3 linked regions of the Arabidopsis thaliana genome follow. The protein of the gene in region 2 interacts with the protein of the main gene of each other region in a pairwise test. Each region holds a gene or a part of one and is shown on either strand. Other genes may lie near its edges.

The links. Proteins that work in one complex are often made in the same cells at the same time.
Region 1: the proteins of BAK1 (region 2) and BSL2 come close enough for resonance energy transfer, tested with the Arabidopsis thaliana proteins (one study listed by BioGRID).
Region 3: the proteins of BAK1 (region 2) and AGG2 interact in a two-hybrid assay, tested with the Arabidopsis thaliana proteins (one study listed by BioGRID).

Annotation. Positions count from the first base shown.
Region 1 is NC_003070.9:2,646,555-2,653,228, forward strand, and holds the start of BSL2 (BRI1 suppressor 1 (BSU1)-like 2), read left to right. Parts: upstream 1-2,904; 5' UTR 2,905-3,404; coding exon 3,405-3,873; intron 3,874-4,412; coding exon 4,413-4,473; intron 4,474-4,587; coding exon 4,588-4,666; intron 4,667-4,777; coding exon 4,778-4,857; intron 4,858-4,940; coding exon 4,941-5,035; intron 5,036-5,134; coding exon 5,135-5,234; intron 5,235-5,311; coding exon 5,312-5,381; intron 5,382-5,928; coding exon 5,929-6,030; intron 6,031-6,106; coding exon 6,107-6,188; intron 6,189-6,411; coding exon 6,412-6,591; intron 6,592-6,674. Other genes in the region: AT1G08410 (P-loop containing nucleoside triphosphate hydrolases superfamily protein), read left to right, coding at 147-248, 337-423, 929-1,022, 1,127-1,183, 1,267-1,346, 1,430-2,552. UniProt on the Arabidopsis thaliana protein: Phosphatase involved in elongation process, probably by acting as a regulator of brassinolide signaling.
Region 2 is NC_003075.7:16,084,976-16,093,367, forward strand, and holds BAK1 (BRI1-associated receptor kinase), read right to left. Parts: upstream 5,803-8,392; 5' UTR 5,314-5,802; coding exon 5,229-5,313; intron 4,960-5,228; coding exon 4,827-4,959; intron 4,745-4,826; coding exon 4,673-4,744; intron 4,504-4,672; coding exon 4,360-4,503; intron 4,233-4,359; coding exon 4,092-4,232; intron 3,641-4,091; coding exon 3,569-3,640; intron 3,463-3,568; coding exon 3,391-3,462; intron 3,316-3,390; coding exon 3,239-3,315; intron 3,127-3,238; coding exon 2,995-3,126; intron 2,918-2,994; coding exon 2,576-2,917; intron 2,479-2,575; coding exon 2,084-2,478; intron 2,003-2,083; coding exon 1,679-2,002; 3' UTR 1,336-1,678; downstream 1-1,335. Other genes in the region: AT4G33420 (Peroxidase superfamily protein), read left to right, coding at 1-126, 213-401, 499-661, 751-1,130; AT4G33440 (Pectin lyase-like superfamily protein), read left to right, coding at 7,045-7,467, 8,245-8,365.
Region 3 is NC_003074.8:8,131,226-8,137,474, reverse strand, and holds AGG2 (G-protein gamma subunit 2), read right to left. Parts: upstream 3,399-6,249; 5' UTR 3,001-3,398; coding exon 2,881-3,000; intron 2,160-2,880; coding exon 2,107-2,159; intron 2,027-2,106; coding exon 1,982-2,026; intron 1,893-1,981; coding exon 1,808-1,892; 3' UTR 1,271-1,807; downstream 1-1,270. Other genes in the region: ARFC1 (ADP-ribosylation factor C1), read left to right, coding at 1-153, 752-1,111; AT3G22940 (F-box associated ubiquitination effector family protein), read right to left, coding at 4,769-6,007. UniProt on the Arabidopsis thaliana protein: Guanine nucleotide-binding proteins (G proteins) are involved as a modulator or transducer in various transmembrane signaling systems.

The sequences.
Region 1 (6,674 bases), on a different chromosome or scaffold from region 2:
TTCCTCTTTTTTATTGTCCTTTGATTGATTAGGTATTTGTGGTTCTGTTTGTATAAATTTAATATGGTAATGAGATTAAAGAACAATTACATGTCCTCTTGATGTTCTTATGGTGTGCTGTTTCTCTAATGTTTTTGGTGAAACAGAGACACAAATTCTAGCTCAAGTGTTATAGCAGCTGAAGAATGGAGAGAGCAACAGAAGATAGAGGAGGCTTTACACGCCAGTAGTCTTCAAGTACCTCGAAGGTATGTGGTTTTTATTCTCTTTAGCTTTATTCTTCCTTTCTATCATAGCTCTAAGACAACGTTTTTTTTTGTCTATCTTCATCTCCAGACCTCCGTGGACACCTGAAATGTCAGTGGAAGAACTTGATGCTAATGAAAAACAAGCTTTTCTAAATTGGCGCCGGATGCTTGTGAGGTTAGCTTTTTTTGTTCTACCCCATCTTAATTTTACTTCTTCGGTGTGTTATAAACAAATCAATATCTGTCACCAAATTGTTTGTTGGTGATGATAAAATTTAGGCAGCTTCTGTCACATAGTTTTGTTCAAATGGTAAAAGCTGATGCTGTAGTTGATAAAATGCATGTATTTTGAGCAAATATTCTACCTTTGTATCGTACTGAGAAGGTCGAAATGGGATAAGCTGAGAAGATCTCATTCTTGTATCCATTTCCCAGTTTTGTTGTGGAAACTGAAAATCTCAGTTTTGTTGTTATTGGTATAATGTGCTGTGTATAAGTTTATCTCATGTAGGATAGTGTTTGCTAAAGCCGGAACTTTTATAGAATCGAGTTGTGTTCAAGATATCTTTCGTATATAAACCAAACTAGAGTTTATAGATGTTTGACCCTAATCAATCTTTTGGATTGGGAAGTTTATAGGTGTTACGCATGCTTACATGTTCTCCTGTATTTTGGTTTAGCCTTGAGGAAAATGAAAAGCTAGTGTTGACTCCATTCGAAAAGAACCTTGACATCTGGAGACAGCTTTGGAGAGTGCTTGAACGCAGTGATTTGGTAAGTCTTTGTCAATAATGTATTAACCTTCTCAATAAGTTCAATTTCTGCGTTTTAGTTAATTGCAAAACAGTTTTGATTACTTATACTTGTCCTTTTTTCAGATTGTTATGGTAGTTGATGCTAGAGATCCACTGTTTTACCGCTGCCCTGATCTTGAGGTAATGCATTTTCTCCCAGCTTGAAACTCCACTTGGCACCGTATTCCTGATTCATATTTACTTGAAGATTCATCGTGACACAGGCATATGCTCAAGAAATTGATGAGCATAAAAAAATAATGCTTCTAGTGAACAAGGCGGATCTTTTACCTACTGATGTCAGGTTAGCCAATCCTCTTGTGCCTTAATACTTTGCCTCCAACCTTTTTTGTATTCTAACCGATTGGTTTAACTTTTGACTTGTAGGGAGAAATGGGCAGAATATTTCCGCCTTAACAACATTCTGTTTGTTTTCTGGTCAGCCATAGCTGCTACAGCTACCCTAGAAGGTAAAGTCTTGAAAGAGCAATGGAGACAACCCGATAACTTGCAGAAGACAGATGATCCAGACATTATGATATATGGCAGAGACGAGCTGTTGAGTCGTTTGCAATTTGAGGCTCAAGAGATTGTCAAAGTAAGGAATTCTAGAGCAGCATCCGTATCATCACAGTCATGGACTGGTGAATATCAACGTGATCAAGCCGTGGTTGGATTTGTTGGGTACCCAAATGTTGGAAAGAGTTCTACAATCAATGCATTGGTGGGTCAGAAGCGAACAGGTGTCACCTCTACCCCAGGAAAAACAAAGCATTTCCAGACTTTGATCATCTCTGATGAGCTTATGCTATGCGATTGCCCTGGTTTAGTCTTCCCTTCGTTCTCAAGCTCAAGATATGAAATGATTGCTTCTGGTGTACTTCCGATTGACCGGATGACGGAGCACCGTGAAGCTATTCAGGTGGTGGCTGACAAGGTCCCTCGCCGTGTAATTGAGAGTGTGTACAACATTTCTCTTCCTAAACCCAAAACCTATGAGCGTCAGTCCCGCCCGCCTCATGCTGCAGAGCTCTTAAAAAGTTACTGTGCTTCTCGTGGCTATGTTGCCTCGAGTGGACTACCGGATGAAACGAAAGCTGCAAGGCTGATTCTGAAAGATTACATTGGAGGTAAGCTGCCACATTATGCAATGCCACCTGGAATGCCCCAAGCTGATGAACCGGACATAGAAGACACTCAAGAACTGGAGGATATTCTCGAAGGTTCAGAGTCCGATGACTCTGCAGTAGGAGATGAGACAGAAAACGAGCAAGTTCCTGGTATTGATGATGTGCTAGATGATCTGAGCTCGTTTGATCTTGCCAATGGGCTTAAGTCTTCAAAGAAAGTGACAGCAAAGAAGCAAACCGCGTCACATAAACAGCACAAAAAGCCACAGAGGAAAAAGGATCGGACTTGGAGGGTTCAAAACACAGAAGATGGAGATGGAATGCCTTCTGTTAAAGTTTTCCAGAAACCAGCTAACACAGGTCCTCTTACGATGCGGTGATTATCAAATTGTAGTCCATCCAAGCAAAGATGGCAACCGAAGCTACTTAAAGTTTTTTTTTTTTTTTCAAAAAATGTAACAGCAGTTGAACCTGTCGCAGTAGTTCTCGAGTGTCTTGATGTTTTTGTTTTTATGATTAAAGTCTTATTTTGGGGAAAAGTAGAAAAAAGTGACAACTCAAATCTGGTGGAAAATGGAGAATTGTTTTTGCCAGTTGGAGATACCTATCGCTTTGTTTTGAGAATATAATAGCCATAAATAGAGTTTTCATGTAACTTTAAACTTTTTTCTTATTTGGGGTTTGGACTCTTTTGAACAATAAATAGTGATAATGAAACTTTAAAGTTTAAACATTTCAATAACCAATTCTTGTTGCTAAATATGTCATTACCAAATCGATATAAAACCAAAGTAAATAGAAATGTTATAGTGATTTCGGTTCGTACGTTTGGCAATGAGTTGGTTCGTGTCTCTCGTTCCATTGGCGTCCTTGAGGGTTAAGACTGATTAGGCTTTGTTGTACTTATGGAGAGAGGAGAGAGAAACTTGAGATAAACAAAAAAAAAAAATTGGTTTTTCCTAAATGTGTGAATGTCTGCTTGCTGCATCGTTTTATTAATTTCCCTGGAAAATAACTGTTTCTGTTTGTTGTAAACAAGCCTCGAGGATCTGACCGGTGAATGAAAGAAAACTAGGGTTTCGATTTTACCGGAATATTCTCCGAGAGAGCGGCAAGTTTAACATCAGATATGTTGTTGATCACAGATTCGCTTTTCTGCGAATTTTAGCTGGATCGGTCTTTCTTTAGTTAGTTTTTTTTTTTTGTTTTCCCACTTTTGAAGCTTTTTGATAATGGATGAAGATTCGTCTATGGTGGCTGACAACGATCAGGATCGTGAGTTTCAGAGCCTTGATGGAGGCCAATCTCCTTCGCCTATGGAAAGAGAAACGCCTCAGCAGATGAACGACCAATCACCTCCTCCTGAAGGCGGATCGGTGCCTACGCCGCCGCCTTCGGATCCTAATCCGGCAACTTCTCAGCAGCAAGCGGCTGCGGTTGTTGGACAAGAGCAGCAGCCGGCGCTAGTTGTTGGTCCGAGGTGTGCACCTACGTATTCGGTGGTGGATGCTATGATGGATAAAAAAGAGGATGGGCCTGGCCCTAGGTGTGGTCACACCTTGACGGCTGTGCCTGCTGTTGGTGATGAAGGAACGCCTGGTTATATTGGTCCTCGTCTTGTATTGTTTGGTGGTGCGACGGCTCTTGAGGGAAATTCTGGTGGCACCGGAACTCCTACTTCAGCTGGAAGTGCCGGCATTCGTACGTTTTCCTTCTCTGCTTGTTAAATAGTTTTAAGTATCACCGCTCTACATTTTCCTTCTCCTTTGCCTAACTATTGTGAAGTTGTAGTTTGCCTTCCTTGCTTTGAAGGTTCTCTCCTGAACGATTGAAAAAGTTAACTCTTTTCTTATGGCTTAATTATTCTGATAGAGGGCCCTTGCCAAGCCTTGAACTTTTAAAGATTTACCTATTTCAAAGATATACGCTGGTTATTTGCTTGCAATCTTGTGAGATCGTCTAAGTTTGGAAACTTTAGTTCTGAAAGCTTCACATCTGTTAAATTTAACTGGCAATCTGAGGTGGCAGTGTTTCCTCAACATTTATTGCATCCTATTTCATTTGGAATCGGTAGAGCAAAGAGCTTGATGTAGTACCAGGGCACAGTATTGGCTGTGGAATGTTAGATCACTAATTCCGTTTATTTGCTGATAGATTCTATGTTCTAGTTCTTGTTATTTCTTAAGGTTCCTAGATTTATCTGGTTGTATTAATTAATTTGGGTGTTCTTTTCTCTGCAGGGCTAGCTGGGGCAACTGCTGATGTTCATTGTTATGATGTACTTTCTAATAAGTGGACTAGGTGAGCATTAAATGTGAATGTCTTTGGGTTTTCACGCTAATTATGAAAAATGCATGAGATCCTACCCCGTTTAAAAGTGTGGATACCAGTTAATTAAATGAATTGAGGCTACAGGCTTACACCTTTTGGAGAACCACCAACCCCGAGGGCCGCACATGTTGCAACTGCAGTCGGGACCATGGTAGTTATTCAGGTAGGGGAGAAATGATGTTTTTATATTATGTGTATGATTTAAGTTTATCAATGTAAGATGAGCATTTCCAGTCAGCTATGAAAGTGCTTATAAATTCTTTCTGTTGTACAGGGTGGAATTGGTCCTGCTGGTTTATCGGCTGAAGACCTTCATGTTCTTGATCTCACTCAACAACGGCCACGATGGCACAGGTTTGAAAATATGCCTGCCACTATCTCGGTTGAAAATTCATTTTACTAGTTCGTGTCTTGATATTGATTATGTCTCTATCCAGGGTTGTTGTTCAGGGTCCTGGACCAGGACCTCGTTATGGACATGTCATGGCACTCGTGGGGCAAAGGTATCTCATGGCAATTGGTGGAAATGATGGTAAGCAGTTTTCCATATTGGCTTATTCTCAGTGTTTTATGTAAGGGTATCATATTCTCATTAAAGCTTCACCCTTCTGAACTCCATTCGAACTACTAGGAAAACGTCCACTTGCTGATGTATGGGCCTTGGATACTGCCGCCAAGCCTTATGAATGGCGTAAGTTGGAACCAGAAGGGGAAGGTCCACCTCCCTGCATGTAAGTTTGATTAGACTCCTTTATGATTGTGAGCTTTCTGGAGTAATTGTTTATATCTGTTTGTACGTTGTAACTAGGTATGCAACTGCAAGTGCGCGCTCCGATGGTCTTCTTCTCCTCTGTGGTGGAAGGGATGCAAACAGTGTGGTAAGTGAAGAGATTTATTACAGTCATACCCAATTATCTCTTTGAAACAAACACTGAGCCACTTATAGAGGCATGATTCTATTTTGGCTTTTGCTTTTAGTGTGAGATAAAAATGGGACCGTGAGATTTAGTCAATTAATTTATAGAGGTTGAGTTTTGTCACTGAGCAAATTGAAAAGTATTTTATTTCCCCAGCTACAAATTTATTAATGGTCCAATGAACGATCTTCATTCTATGTTCCAGAGCAGATGGAGATGTAACTCTTCTCTGCTAGGTAAATTAATCAAGAGTTTGTGTGTGTTTCAACACAGACTCTGAAGAAGTAACAAACATAAATTGTGTGCAAGACCTCGTGAAGCTTCTACGAGAAAAGGAACTATAATTTCTTTTGTCAACAAGGAATGAGCTTATTATCAATTATGTGTTTATACATGATCATGAGAAGTTGTCAATTCTGCGTAAAGTGAAATATGAAACTTAATGGACTGCTTTAATCTTGAATGGTTGATTGAGGAGCTTAATTTTTTTCTACGTTTGAATTGATAGCCTCTGGCCAGTGCATATGGACTTGCGAAGCACAGAGATGGACGTTGGGAATGGGCCATAGCCCCTGGTGTCTCACCATCTTCCAGATATCAGCATGCAGCAGTATGGATGCTTCTTCCTCTTTGGTTCTCTTTTCTGTCCTCATCAGAATTATTAAATTCTTTGGTTAATTATTTAGGTCTTTGTAAATGCAAGACTTCATGTGTCCGGTGGGGCACTTGGTGGTGGACGCATGGTTGAAGACTCATCCAGTGTTGCAGGTTAGCAAATGAAAAGAGGCAGTCTGATGTTTGTGCTGTTGGATTATCATTGAGGAAATACTTGAGTTTCCATATAATTTCTGCACCACTTTTAGTCTTCTGTTGGCCATTGTTGAAATGTGTCTCATGTATAGACGATAGTTGTATATTTTGGTTTTGTACTAAAATGTGCATTGAGTTCATCTACAATTCTCTGATTATTTCATCTATTGTCTTTGTACAGTATTGGATACTGCAGCAGGTGTATGGTGTGATACAAAATCAGTTGTTACTAGTCCTAGAACTGGTAGGTATAGTGCCGATGCAGCTGGTGGCGATGCTTCGGTTGAGCTGACTAGGCGGTGTAGGCATGCTGCTGCTGCAGTCGGTGATTTGATATTTATCTACGGTGGTTTACGTGGAGGTAAAGAGCTGGCAGAACTTTGCTAATGTACCTTTGATGCTTTGTTACAGACCAACATTGTTTAGATATCACAATTCTTTTGC
Region 2 (8,392 bases):
TACTACATGATGAGCTGTCCTTTCGCTGAACAGATTGTGAAGAACAGTGTTAACAATGCTCTTCAAGCCGATCCCACTTTAGCCGCTGGTCTTATCCGTATGTTGTTCCACGACTGTTTCATCGAGGTACTTAACGTTTTCTGTTTAATTAATTGTGTTTTTTTCGTAGAAAAACCCTTAAAATTAATGTGTAATTTTTGGTTCATAATAAGGGATGTGATGCGTCAATTCTGCTAGATTCAACGAAAGACAACACTGCGGAAAAGGATTCGCCTGCGAATCTGAGTCTACGTGGCTACGAGATCATCGATGATGCAAAGGAGAAAATCGAGAATAGATGTCCAGGAGTTGTATCATGCGCAGATATAGTTGCCATGGCTGCTAGAGATGCTGTCTTTTGGGTAATTTATTTGATCACGTTTTTGAATTACCTTTATGTGATTATAGTAAATATGATTAATTAGTGTACTTAACATAATTAGTAATTGAAATTGTTAGGCTGGTGGTCCATATTATGACATACCGAAAGGAAGGTTTGATGGTAAAAGATCAAAGATAGAAGATACAAGAAATCTACCTTCACCTTTTCTTAATGCCTCTCAACTCATTCAAACTTTTGGCCAACGTGGTTTCACTCCACAAGATGTTGTTGCTCTCTCTGGTCAGTTCTTTAAAGAACTAATATATGTGTATTGTGTGTGATAATCTAATTTGGTTTTAACTTAATAATTTGTGGGGATATATATATAGGAGCACATACCCTAGGAGTTGCACGATGCTCCTCCTTCAAGGCTAGACTTACCGTCCCAGACTCTTCATTAGACTCGACTTTTGCAAACACTCTCTCTAAAACATGCAGCGCGGGTGACAATGCAGAGCAACCCTTTGATGCTACGCGCAACGATTTCGACAATGCTTACTTCAATGCGCTTCAGATGAAATCAGGAGTCCTCTTTTCAGACCAAACTTTATTCAACACACCAAGGACCAGGAATCTTGTTAACGGCTATGCACTTAACCAAGCCAAGTTCTTCTTTGATTTCCAACAGGCCATGCGCAAGATGAGCAATCTTGATGTTAAACTTGGCTCTCAAGGTGAAGTCCGTCAAAATTGTCGGAGTATTAATTAGGCTAGACCACATCTACTTACGATTTTTGTATTTATAATAAGTTCTCTACTCTTGTTATATGAAGAATCATGAATCTTCTAGGCTACTATGTAAAAATTGTGTACTCTCGTAATATGCAGTTGTATACTTATTGCTTGTGTGGTTCAGATATCCATCAAAAAGTAATATACTTTGGTTGCATTTTCTTGTCCAATTGCTATTTAAAGGCAAAAGTCTCCTTTTCTTCTGAACAATCTCCGGATCTAGAAATCACATGATAACACAGAAACCGGTAAGAAAAGAAACCTGACGCACGGTGAAAAAGAATAATTGATGGGATACATATTTGTGAATCAAGTGCGCAACAATCCTCAAGTGGTGAGCTTAAGACATGTTTGGGTTTTAGCTTTCAACAACATTCAAATCCTTTTTCATCATATAACACTTACAAACCCAATCTGATCCTCATGTATTCACTTAAGAACCAATAATATGGAGCAGCAGAAGCTAAAACCCTCAATAAATACAGAGAAAAACAAAATACAGAAAAAACATTCGTGTTTCGAATCTTATCTTGGACCCGAGGGGTATTCGTTTTCGATCTGGGAAGTGGAATCGCCAATGATCCAGCCAGACACGGCTGGATGGTGGGTTGGGTAGTTGAAATCTTGTCTGAACATTTCCTCCTTTTGCCACTCTTCCCATCTCTCAGCTAAACCATCTCCTTCAAGCATTCTTACAACTTCAGACATTTTGGGTCTTTCCATTGGTGAACTCTGAGTGCAGAGTAAAGCCACTTGGATTAGCTGCTCCACTTCTTCGTCTTTGTAATTACCCTGAAGATCAACATCTACTAGTGCTTCCAATTTCTTCTCTTTTAACAACCCTTTCACCTGTCGAAATGAATAATTAACACAAATAGAGGTAACACAGATAATGAACTATACAAGTGGGAAACTCATATATGTATATACCCAGTCTAGTAACATGACATCATCATCATTCGCGAGGCGAGCAAGATCAAAAGCCCTTTGTCCAGTGATAAGCTCAAGAAGCATGACTCCATACCCAAAGACATCGGTTTTCTCTGATGATTTTCCAGTGGAAAGGTACTCAGGGGCTATATGACCAATTGTCCCACGCACTGCGGTTGTCACATGTGTGTCTTTGTAGTCCATGAGTTTTGCAAGTCCAAAATCCCCAACCACGGCTTCAAACTCTTCATCCAACAAAATATTTGCAGCTTTCACATCTCGATGAATAATCTTTGGGTCGCAATGATCATGTAAATACGCAAGCCCTCTTGCAGATCCCAACGCAATACGCTGTCTCTTTGGCCAATCAAGTGGTGGCTGGGACTCGGGACGTTCTAAGGAGAAAATAAAATATAAGATTACTACGGATAAAAAGGCAACCATTGGACGGAAATATTGCAGTCAAAGAAAAAGGCACAAGATGAGAGATACCTCTTAAACAGGAGGCAACACTTCCATTAGCCATGTAGGGATAAACAAGCAATCTTTCGGTTGGAGTCATGCAAAATCCACGAAGCCGAAGCAAGTTTCTGTGAACCGCCATACTAATCATCTCAACCTCTGTCTGGAACTGCAGTTCGCCACCTTGGGTGCGCTCCTCTTTTAGCCTTTTAACGGCCACTAAAGTACCATCAGCTAACCGTCCTTTATAAACTTTACCAAAACCACCTCTACCCAATATGTTCTTGTTGCTAAAATTATCCGAAGCAACTTGTAGTTCACGCAATGAAAACCTCTTCAGTTGTCCTAAATGAACTTCTGGGTCCTCTTCAGCTGCAAAAAGACGGTAATAAAAAAAAATCAGCAAGAGAAGTGTTAATGAGGAAACAGGTAAAGCAAGTTTAGCTAACCTGGTACATCAAAGAAGTGGTCCTGCGGCTTTTTCCTTCGCCACCAAGCTAGTGCAATGGCCGGAACAGCAAATAGAAGTGCAGCACCTGCAGCAACTCCTCCCGCAATCGCTCCAGTAATTCTATTACTCCCTGCAAGAATGAAATGAACAATCTCTTTCTTAATACTTAATGGATCTGCTTAAAATGTTTACTTATTCAGTTGAATAACATTTCAAAGACAAAGACATATACAAAAAAAAACCTGCAGGTGATGGCGGTGTAGGAGAGATAGGAGGCGGTGGAGATGCAGGAAGGGGAGTCAACTTGGTGTTGGCAAAACTGCAAAATTTCAAATAATTAATCAAACATTCTGACCTCTCCACCAAGATTTAAACTAGGAGCAGGATGCAAAACCTGATTGGAGTGAAAAGTGAAAAGGAACCATTAACAGGAATATCTCCGGTGAGAGGATTGTTTGAGAGATCCCTGCATTATAAGATGATATCATTTTCTGACTTAATGCCAAGATCGGCCAAACAATAATCAGAAACATGAACACAGAGGAATTTGAGAGAGATAAAGTTACACTCACAGAACTTGTAGCGTCAGGACAGCAGTCAAAGACCTTGGAATTTCTCCAGATAAGCTATTGTTATTAAGACGCCTAACCACCAATACAAAAAGAGAATGTCATGAATAAGTGGAAATACATTAACCAGTAATGAGTTTATAGTGAGAGCAAAAATACAAACTTTAAAAGACTTTCAAAAGTAGGGGTTGTTCTAAAATCTCATCCAACAGATATGAAGCTGATTGAAAAATCAAGTATATTTTCCTAATTAGCGCGACTTACTACTTTAGATGCGTTCACCCTCTAGATTTACAGAGCACTCACAAATTAATAAGTAACAATAGGGTTTAGCGCTTAAATTCTAAGGCAGAAGAATATTGTTATCTTTGATAGAATTTCATTCTTCCAGAACCAAATCGATTTCATACAAAATAAGCGAGTCAATAACTACCATTGAAGATCACAAAGGTGACACACGAGAACAACCAAAAAGACAGTCACCTGAATTCGGAACTTTGTGTTGTTCCAGTAAAATTAAGCGAACACAAGGATAGAGTTCTGATTCCTTTTACGAAAGCTCATAATTAAAATAGACCATATTATACAACATCCTAGTCTCCAAGAGAACACCTTTTCATCTAGTAAAATAACGTAGCATCTATTTGGCGACACTACTTTCTGACTCCTACAAATGTAACACGTTGCACGAATAGCTTTTACAGGAAGACAAACACGATCAAGGAAACTAAAGACAATAATTAGGCTGCTTATTAAAAACGTATTAAAAGAAGAGAGTAGAATATGGTGCATACAAGAAACGGAGTTTCTTAAGTCGGCCGAGAGTTGATGGAATAGGCCCGCTTAAATTGTTCAAGTAAAGATCCAAGCTCACCAATTCCGTCAGATTTCCAAGCTGTTCTGGGATTGTCCCAGTAATGTTATTGCTATAAAGCTCCCTGTCATTACCATTCTTTAATATTAATTTCACCATAAGATCGGAAAGATATATAACTAATAATCTATGATAATGCAAAATTATGCAGTTATTTGGAACATTGTAACATTTTTAACATCCCACATACACCAAAAGTTAAAAGACGGCCTTTTAAAGAAAAGATGACTTACAAGTACTGCAAGTTTGGAAGCTGACCAAGTTGCATTACGAGCTGTCCAGATAGATTTGCATTCCCAAGGTCACTGAGCAAAAATGAAGTTCAAGTAAATTCTCAGTAGATGCGAAAATCCGAATCATCTTGGCTAGATATAGAAAGAAACTTACACACGTGTAACACTATTGTCGCTATTGCAAGTAACATGAAACCATGTACATGGAGTAACAAGAGTAGCATCCCAACTTTGAAGCACCTTATTAGGGTCGGCTAAACTGTTTTTCAGTGCACTTAGAGCATCACCTACAATTAACCAAAGAAGAAGAAAAAATCAAACTTTGCAATCATCAAGTGTCACGAGGATACATAATCACTGGAATCAGTCGAAACAGATGTAACCCAAATATAACTCAAGTCAATACAGCAAAACAAGTAACAGATAAGTTAAAAATGCCTTCTTTAGGTGAGAACAAGCTCTCATAAGCCTATACTAATCAAAATACTCAACAAGGGAAACTAATTTAATTGGAAAGAATGAAAAATTGAAAGAGAATGAGAGAGAAAGGGGAAACCTTCGGCGTTGCCCGAGACTCTGAGAACCAAATCCAAAACGAGAATCAACCAAAAGAAGCAAGGGATCATTAATCTTCGTTCCATTTTATCCTCAAGAGATTAAAAACAAACCCTAGAACTATCCCTCATCAGAGAAAATCCATCATTGTTAAAACCCCTGATAAAAGGGATCTCGAATCCTTCGATTAAGCTACCACCCACACAAGGTAATACCAAGATGATGAAATTAGAAGCAGAATACGAGAAAAGCCCTCTCAACGCGTATCCACCCGTTGACTTAATTTGAAGAGAAAATCAAAATACCCAAATCGATTAATCGCGGAAACCAAAAAAGCAAAAAAAAAAGAAACTGAAGCTAGACTTTTCCGATTAGAAGGAACGCCGAGATCGCTGACCGTTGACTACTTAATGCTGAGAAGAGAGAAAACTGAGATAGAGAAAACGAAAGGAGGAAGAAGATATTTCCTGGAAATATACTAAAAAAGGGTCGAAACAAAGAGAGATGAGAGAGAGGAGAGAAACCAAGTTATCGCCGAGAGCAAGGAAGGAAGACGAATTTTAATTATTTTCTTTGCTTAAAGAAGGGATTTTACTGGGTTGAGTTGTTGTACTGTGAAAACTATATTAAAAAAATGACATTTAAGATTGAGAAAACGACAAAGAGGATGATGACGTGGACGAGCATTTTCAAAGCTTTTTTAGAGCTAGTCAAAGTCAAAGACGCACGACTTCATTCCGAATCATGTTTGTTATGTTCGCCCACCTTATCATCATCCATCATATGACATTAGATATAAACCATGATGGTCATGAACTCATGATAGTTGATAGTGAGTTATATACCATCATCATAATCCTAATTACCGGCCCAGCTCTATTTTTTCGGGCTTTTATTGTTTATTGGGCTTGGTCTTAATAGCAAGTTCGTTTATTCCAAAGATGAGCAAAAGCTTTTTTGATTTTTTTATTCTTTTTTAAAGATTATAGCTCTAAAAAATTACAATTCAATATTGAAAAATGTAAGCTGAATAATCCATCTGGTCCAATGAATTAAACAAAACAAAAAACATTATTGTATCATATATAATTTACTGGTTGATAGTTTAACTATTTATGCCATTTAATATTTTTAAAAGAACAAAAGTAATTTTGAGGAAAAATGAAATAAAAAACAAAAAACACAAACGGACAGAGTATATGTTGCCAGCAATAAAATACGGACATATACCTTAGTTTGGCATTAAAAAACAAAACAAAAACACAACAAACAACTCAGTACAGTAGGCTATTTAAAGGCCCATCAGATTAAGACTTGGAAGTCTGACGAGATTGTAACGCCTCACAATCCTTCCTACCCGTGAGTCCGTGACCGATTGTGTATCATCCATCTTCTTTCTTCTTCTTTCTTCTTCTTTCTTCTTCTTTTATATATAAACCAAAATATAATTCGTGAAGACTTTCACTTTCTCCTTGCCACTTTTTGACGATTCACATGCACCATCCAATATTTTAGTGCCCTTTTCACGACATATCTGTGTCTGTATCCAATTTTCTTATTTACTACTACTTTTTTCTATTTATATATACAAAAATAATCAAAGAGAGAGACGAATTTTCGAGGTAAGGTATCTATCGACTTTCTATCTTCCTCCACCTTTGTTTGTTGTCACCACCACACTACGCTAATCATTGCCACACACATGCATAATTCTCTCCAACCATCTAAAAGTCCCACTTTAGCATTCTTCTGTTTGTAATTTTATCTCAGAGCTTGCTTCATGGGCTTTTGAGTTTTCTCTCTGTTTCCAAAAAACAATGGAACCGGAGAAGAATCCGACCACAGTATTGAGTGCCATTACAAGACCTTCGTGGGCGTTTCTTCTCCTTGTTTTCACCGTCTTAGCGATTCTCTCTCTCCAAATCTCTTCCAATTCTTTTCTCCCTCTCTGGATCCCGACTTCTCAATATGACGACCCTGTTACCTGCTCCGGGTTTTTCAATCACGACCCGTTCCCTAACCGGATCGTTATGTCGATTACCGATTTCGGCGGTGTTGGAGACGGAAAGACGTCGAACACGGCCGCTTTCCGCCGCGCCGTAAGGCACCTTGAAGGTTTTGCGGCGGAGGGTGGGGCCCAGCTCAATGTCCCGGAGGGCACGTGGCTTTCTGGAAGCTTCAACCTCACCAGCAATTTCACGCTCTTTCTCGAACGCGGCGCTCTCATTTTGGGATCCAAGGTTATATCAAAGTTTTGAATTCTTTAACACATTGATAAAGTTTACTTTTTTTTTGCTTTGTTTGTTGTTGATTGGTTCTGAACAGTAGTAGTATTAAGAGAATTCAATTAGTTGTTGATTGCTCTGTGAGAATCCAAAATTTGGGTTTGTGATTGCTTTTTGATTTGTGGGTTCATAAAGTTTTGTTGGTAAACACTATATTCATTTCGCTAATCACGGTCAGTGGTTAAAATGGACCCACCATTGTTTGATACAGCAAAAAAGCTGTTATTTTTGAGTGGGGATAGTCTCTAGTAGTGCGAAATCTGGATTTGCATATCAAAAGTCAGTGTTTTGCATGAATTTTGTATTAACACTTGTTAATTTCGGATTGACTTGTTCAATGAATGTTCTTGTGATGTCTCGATAGTAGCTGTAACAAAAAAAAAGTCAAGTGGAAGAAACCATTTTTATATGATCATATTCCAAGAAAGGAGTTAGATGTATAGACAACTTTTGTCTGAAGCATGTTCATGTACGAACTAGATCTATCAGATTACTTGTGTTGTCTCCTAATTTAGTATTAAATTATTACTGAGTTTTTTTGCTGTCAAGTTTGATTCTGATTAAAAGTTTGTCTGCTAGTGTTTGAGCACATTTTCATGTGTCGATGTAAACTCAAAAGTCATCTGTACTTATATAGATACTTTGGAACGCTGTTTTTTTTAATTCTTACATTCTTAATTTTACGTTGTAAGTACAATATTGATATTTTTGTCTGGAATTATGGTTTGATAGGACCTAGACGAATGGCCGATAATAGAGCCATTGCCTTCTTATGGAAGAGGGAGAGAGAGACCTGGTGGTAGACACATCAGCCTCATTCATGGAGACAATCTCACTAATGTTGTCATTACAGGTACTTTGTTATTTCATTCATCAACAG
Region 3 (6,249 bases), on a different chromosome or scaffold from region 2:
CCTGCAAAAGAGTATAAGATTGTTGTTGTTGGTTTGGATAATGCTGGTAAAACGACGACGCTTTATAAACTTCATTTGGGTGAAGTTGTTACTACTCATCCTACTGTTGGTAGCAATGTTGAAGAGCTTGTCTACAAGAATATTCGCTTTGAGGTACTGGACTCTTTCTTTATTCATTTGGGTGAAGTTGTTTCTTAGCTTCTTATCTAGGGACGTGTTTTAGAAGTTTGAAACTTTATGGATGTTTCTTAAATTTGCCATTGCCATCTTTTGATTGTGTTATTGTCCCTAGCTATGTTTCTTGCTTGGGTGTGTGCATTTTTCTCGTTGAAAAATGGATGATGTTTTTGTCTAAGTTCTTGTCATGATTGGTTGAGAAGGTGTCAGAAACTCATAATGAACGTTTTCGTATGTGCGATTTATGGTTTTGTATAGTAAATTTTTGTAGATGTTGTTTATCTAGCTTGTTTGTTATACCGGAGGAACTGTTTGCTATTTCCCATTAGCTTAGTTTTTTTGCCAGAGGACTGTTTGGAACATCTTTATACAGTGGTCAAAGTCATGGCCTGAGATGAATTCATCTCTGTTTTATGACAATCTGCATGTGTTCTTATATGTCAAAACTCAATGATGAATATAAACGTAACTAAACTTACTAAAGTTTGAATTGTTTCCTGTCAAAAACTAACTGTTGGACACTGGCAATCGAATATTTGAGGCGATGTTTACTTTTATGATATGTTGTCTTTAGGTATGGGATCTTGGTGGGCAAGATAGGCTAAGAACTTCATGGGCAACATACTATCGTGGAACACATGCTGTGATTGTGGTTATAGATAGCACAGACAGAGCCAGAATCTCTTTCATGAAAGATGAGCTAGCCAGGTTACTTGGTCATGAGGATCTTCAAAACTCGGTCATACTAGTTTTTGCAAACAAACAGGATCTGAAAGACGCAATGACTCCTGCTGAGATCACGGATGCACTTAACCTTCACAGTATCAAGAACCATGATTGGCATATTCAAGCAAGTTGTGCGGTTACTGGAGAAGGATTGTATGATGGGCTCGGTTGGATTGCCCAAAAAGTTACCGGTAAAGCCACGAGTTAAGGGGAAACCAGAACTGAATCAGAGAGAGTACGTACTATTCTTCTTTGTTTCTTTTGTCTCCTTCATATGTTCTTTAACATTGTATCCTCTTGACTTTTATGTAACAAGCTTCAACTATTTTGGTTGCTCTCATTGAAACTGTGTCCAGAATTTTCATATATGGAAGAAAAAAATCTTGTTTTGTTTCAGATTTAAAACTACCACCAAACTCAAAATCCAAACGAACTAAAAACAAAAACAGAGCAACCATTAAAACAAGACAAGACACCATTGTAGCCTCTCTCAGAGCTCACCACAGTCTGCGATAACCACCGGCTTGGAAGGAATCCTGTTCAAAGTTCCAACCTCGTCTTCAATGCTCCTGAGCACGTCGAGTCCTTCAACAACTTGCCCGAACACGACATGTAAACCATCGAGAAACGAGAACTTTTCCAAGACAATCTGGAACTGAGATGCATTGGTGTGGGGATCACCGACGGCCACTGTGCTAGATTTTCTTGTGGTGGCGTGAATTTGGCACTGTGGTCTTCTTAAATTAAGAGACACATCAAGATCAATAGATTTTTTACTGCACAAATGAATCAATTTTTTTTTTTGCCAATTACATCAAATTCACTGCCGCGGGAACGTAAAAACACAAACTCACTCTTCTGGAAGAAGTAGAGACAAAAATATTTTGAGAGAAGGAAAGGAAGATCAAAGAATGGAGCAGCCACATCGTTTTGCTTCTTTAGGGCCTTCGAACCATTGATCCCATGTCGCATTCACCGGACCTGTTGTTCTGCAAGTAGTCACAAAAGCAAACATATCAGACCTAATCATCTCACAGTCTATTGAAATGAAACTATCAGAAAACAGAAGAAGAATTACTCGGGAAGAAGAGGATCGGGTTTGCTGTCAACACTGTCTAAGAACCTGCATCCATTCGAGAAACTAGTCAAGCTTGTGGAATGATTATTCGTGAACCGGATATCAGTTATGTAACAAGTTCTTACTCTTTGCAGGATGCTGATGCATTGTCCATCTTCTCAAGCTGCTCCAGCTCTTCCTGAATATAATAAATGAAGGAAGAAAGTTAAAACCTTGTAACGCTTTTAAGCAAGCATTTGAGTTCACAAATGTCATAACAGCTACGTAGACAAGAGCTTAAACCTCAAGGGATCAAGAGTCAAGATATTATTACACCTGAATGAAATATGCTCAAGAGCTTAAACTACATTTCAGTTTCACTCCTCACCATTCTTGAACCTTCCTAATTACTGACCCTGGTGATTTGTTTTATCAACAGAAGCATATTGTTCGCAAAGGATCTACTCTCTCACTCAAGTAACATTTAGCATCACAAAAATCTCTTTAAAAGGAGACAGTTCTACACTACATTTCTTAAAGTCAGATCGATTCCATTAATCTAAGATCCAATCTTGTTAAGCATATAAAAAGGAACTATATCAAGAGACAAGTACTATTAACTCACTAAAAGCAACCCCACAATACCAACTGCTACAACAAAACCTGTTTTTTTTTTTTCACTCATTGAATACCAACAACAACAAAAACCCCTAAATCAAATTGATTCCCAAAACTAAAAAAGTTTCAAACTTTGAAAGTCTCTACCGTACTCCACTCAGATTTATACTATTCCATCCAAAAAGAGCCGAAGCACAAAAACAACAGATTGATCCAATCTGTAATTATATGATATAATCAGCCAAAAGGCCCAAGCACGTCGAAACAAGAAAGGGTTTAAGATTAAGAGGAGAGTAAAATACCTCTAAGAATCGAGCTTCTTGTTCAAGCCTTTTGAGTTCAGCTTGAATCCTGTGTTTGCCTCTTGTATCAACGACCCGCCCGGATAGCTGACCCGACGAATTGGAGCTACCCGCTTCCATCAAAATTTCTCGAATTCAACCCTCAAAATAAAAATCGAAACTTTAACAAAAACAGATAAGAACCACAATTTTACTCAGACTAAAAGATCGCCATTTGAATATGGGAAACTCATAAACCTTCACAAAACCCCATTTGTTACTGGTTGGATACAAAAATTACAAGGATTCAGAATCAAACAGATCTTGAGAACTCCAACAAACAAAGAGAATAGAAGCAAATTTTATGAGGGGGCAAATAGAAAATTCAAAGTTATGAGTTGGGGAGACTTGAAAAAGAGCTTTTCCGATGATCGAAAGGCGAGAGAAAAAAATATATATAAAAGTTGCGATTTTGAAAAAGACGAAAGTCGACGGAAATAAGAAAAACAAAACATTATTTCAGTCTTGATGGCCATAAACATAAAACTTTCTTCTTGAAACCTCAATAACTCATGTTTATTTTTTTAAAAAGTTAACCAATCATAAAATAGACCATATAATATATATATATAATTATAAAAATAAAAAAATCTATAATTTGCATAAAATTTTGAAAACATTCGAAACAAAAATTTCTCCAAAACACTTATATTGTGAAACTAAGGGAATGTTATTTTCATACTAATCATCTTGCACATTTTTCTTTCTTTATATATTCCCCATAATATTTTATTTCTCGTCATGATCGATCATTCCATGGATCCACATTAATTATCTTTAATCCAATATGTTTTATTATTTCTAGTTTTAACTTCAAAGCTTTTTTTTTTTTTTCTCAGCACATATAAGAATTGATTTTTATTTCCTAATTAATGATGATCCCCATTAGGCCATTATGCACCAAGATCTTCTAAAGAGATACATATCGGACAGAAGAATAGTCAGAAGTACAAATGGTCTGGTTTAAAATATTTGCTACTCAGAAGGTGAGGCAGATTTGACTGAAGAAGATGTTTATGAAGATAACGACCTAAGAAGAAGAGGATGTGGAAGACTTCCAAGATGTCAAAGAGTAAGAAGTTGAATATATATCCCAAAATGGTGGATGGTAATCTTTTAGTTTGAGCATGAACAACTTGCTCTTGTCTTTGATGTTTCCAAGGACTGATAATGCACCTGACCCTCTCACTAAAAAGACTCTGCTACTGAAATTCTGCTAGATAGATATATCGACAATGCCATCTAGTCGAGTCGCTGGTTCGGTTTTAAAAACTTTGTAGAGACTAGGCCAGATAACAGAAGCTATCTCTAAATTATATTATCGAAAACCTGAGGTTCCACCATCTTTAAATTTTAAAAATCTGATTAATATCATGTCCTTTAGCATGAAGCCATGTAATATATATATTTTTTTTTTTGATAAGAATGTAAATATCATATAAAATGAAAGTTTAGGAGTTACAAGAAGCAAAACCTACAAACATGGTCCCATGCCAAAAAAAGGAAAAAAACATGGAAGCATAATCCTTTCGAGATTCATCGCATCAACTAAACCTTAAGCGATGAGGCTCTTAGTAAGAAGATGAAGAAAACTCGATCTAAAGACTCCCCTAAGCAAGAAAGTGGCAACAAAAAAGAGCGGTCTAAACTATTGATCGACAAAAAAGCGCACAGGAAGTCCTTTCAACAATGGCCCGAAACAAACTGAGACGGAGCTATACGGGCAAAAATCGGCTGGCAATGCTTTCTCACTCTACCAAGCTCCTGATGAAGCCATGTAATATTTAGTAAAGTATCAGTCTAAAACATAGCAGTAATAAATCGAAGTACGAGCCAAGAAACATAAATCTTACTGTTGATGACATTCAAGTGACATACTTAATGTCCAAGAACTTTGGGTTTTAAGTGCGCGAAGTTTCGATATGTTTCGAACATATTGACGCTTTTCTAACTTGCTTTGCTGTTTCCTTTGGAATCCTGCAGGTTTCTTGATTTGCACTAAACTCGGAACATAAGAGCACACAAGTGGGCAACGTCTTTTATTAACCGGTTCTCCGAGATCAACTTGTCCACCATATCCAGCCTCTCCCATGATGTGAACTGTGTCGCCGCGATCCAAAGTTTTATCAAAAATCATAGCAACTTTCTTCTCCTCGTCGATGAAAAAACTACCATATGTCAGTGAACTCGGAATCTCATCACCCAAATCAACATTCACTGTCAAGAACTTGCTCCACAATACCTCATTGGCCTCAATCTTAATCGTAATCCAAACCTCAACAACATCCTCGTGACAAACTAAAGCCGCAAGCTTCTCCTCTCTAACACAAGCTAGAGTAACAACACCATCCAAATCACTAAACGGCAAAAGCAGAAGCGGACCAAACCTCTCACTTGTGAAATCAAAACAGATTATATGATCAGCATTGAGAAAAAGGTCAGAGTTCCTTTTTTTAGCACACCAGTAAGTGTTTCCCTTGAGAGTAACACCACGGTTACCACAATTTATCAACCAATGTGGAGTAGTAACATCAAGAGTCGTCCATAAATCAGACTCAAAATCATAGATTTCATACCACAAAACAACGTTGTCTCGAGGGTAATGGAATTCATAATCTATAAACCTCAAGATCTTGTGGTTGCGTCTCTTGTTGTCGTATCCAATAGCGTACCTGTACATGTCACATCCCTGGGGTATTTCGAAAGAACATCTGGGTTTGATCCACCTTGTTTGTCCCCAATACGGGTTCCAAACAACAAGACTAAAGTTATCATCTTTCAAGATACATAACAACAAACCCTCACAGTGAAAAACTTGAGATATCTTGACTTGTTCTGAATCTGAATCGTCGTTTAGACAAATACGTTTACCTTTAATCTCTACAGAAGTATCACTGCCGAAGAAGAAGCTCACTAAATGAAGATTGTGATCCATCAACACGACCATCTGAGACTCTCCTTCTCTTGCTGCTGCTGCTTTACTAATAAAGCTCCGATTTTTGAATAAAGAGTCCCACTTTTTGCAAGTCGATCTCACTGCTCTCGTAGACTTCAATGGAAGTCTTGAGAGTATCTCTTCTAAGGGCATCTCCAACCACAACACTAAAATTGTGTTAGAATAACACTATATTTGGTGTGATTTTCACACTAAATTCTTTTTCATCTCCAACCACAACACCAAAAGTCACACTAAAAATACTATTCTCTATTATTATATTATTAACCTAAAATATGAATACTTTAAAAATACTTAATAATATTGAAACAAATGTTAGACAACAAATTATTACATTAAACAAATTTAATACAAAATAAAGAAACACAACATAT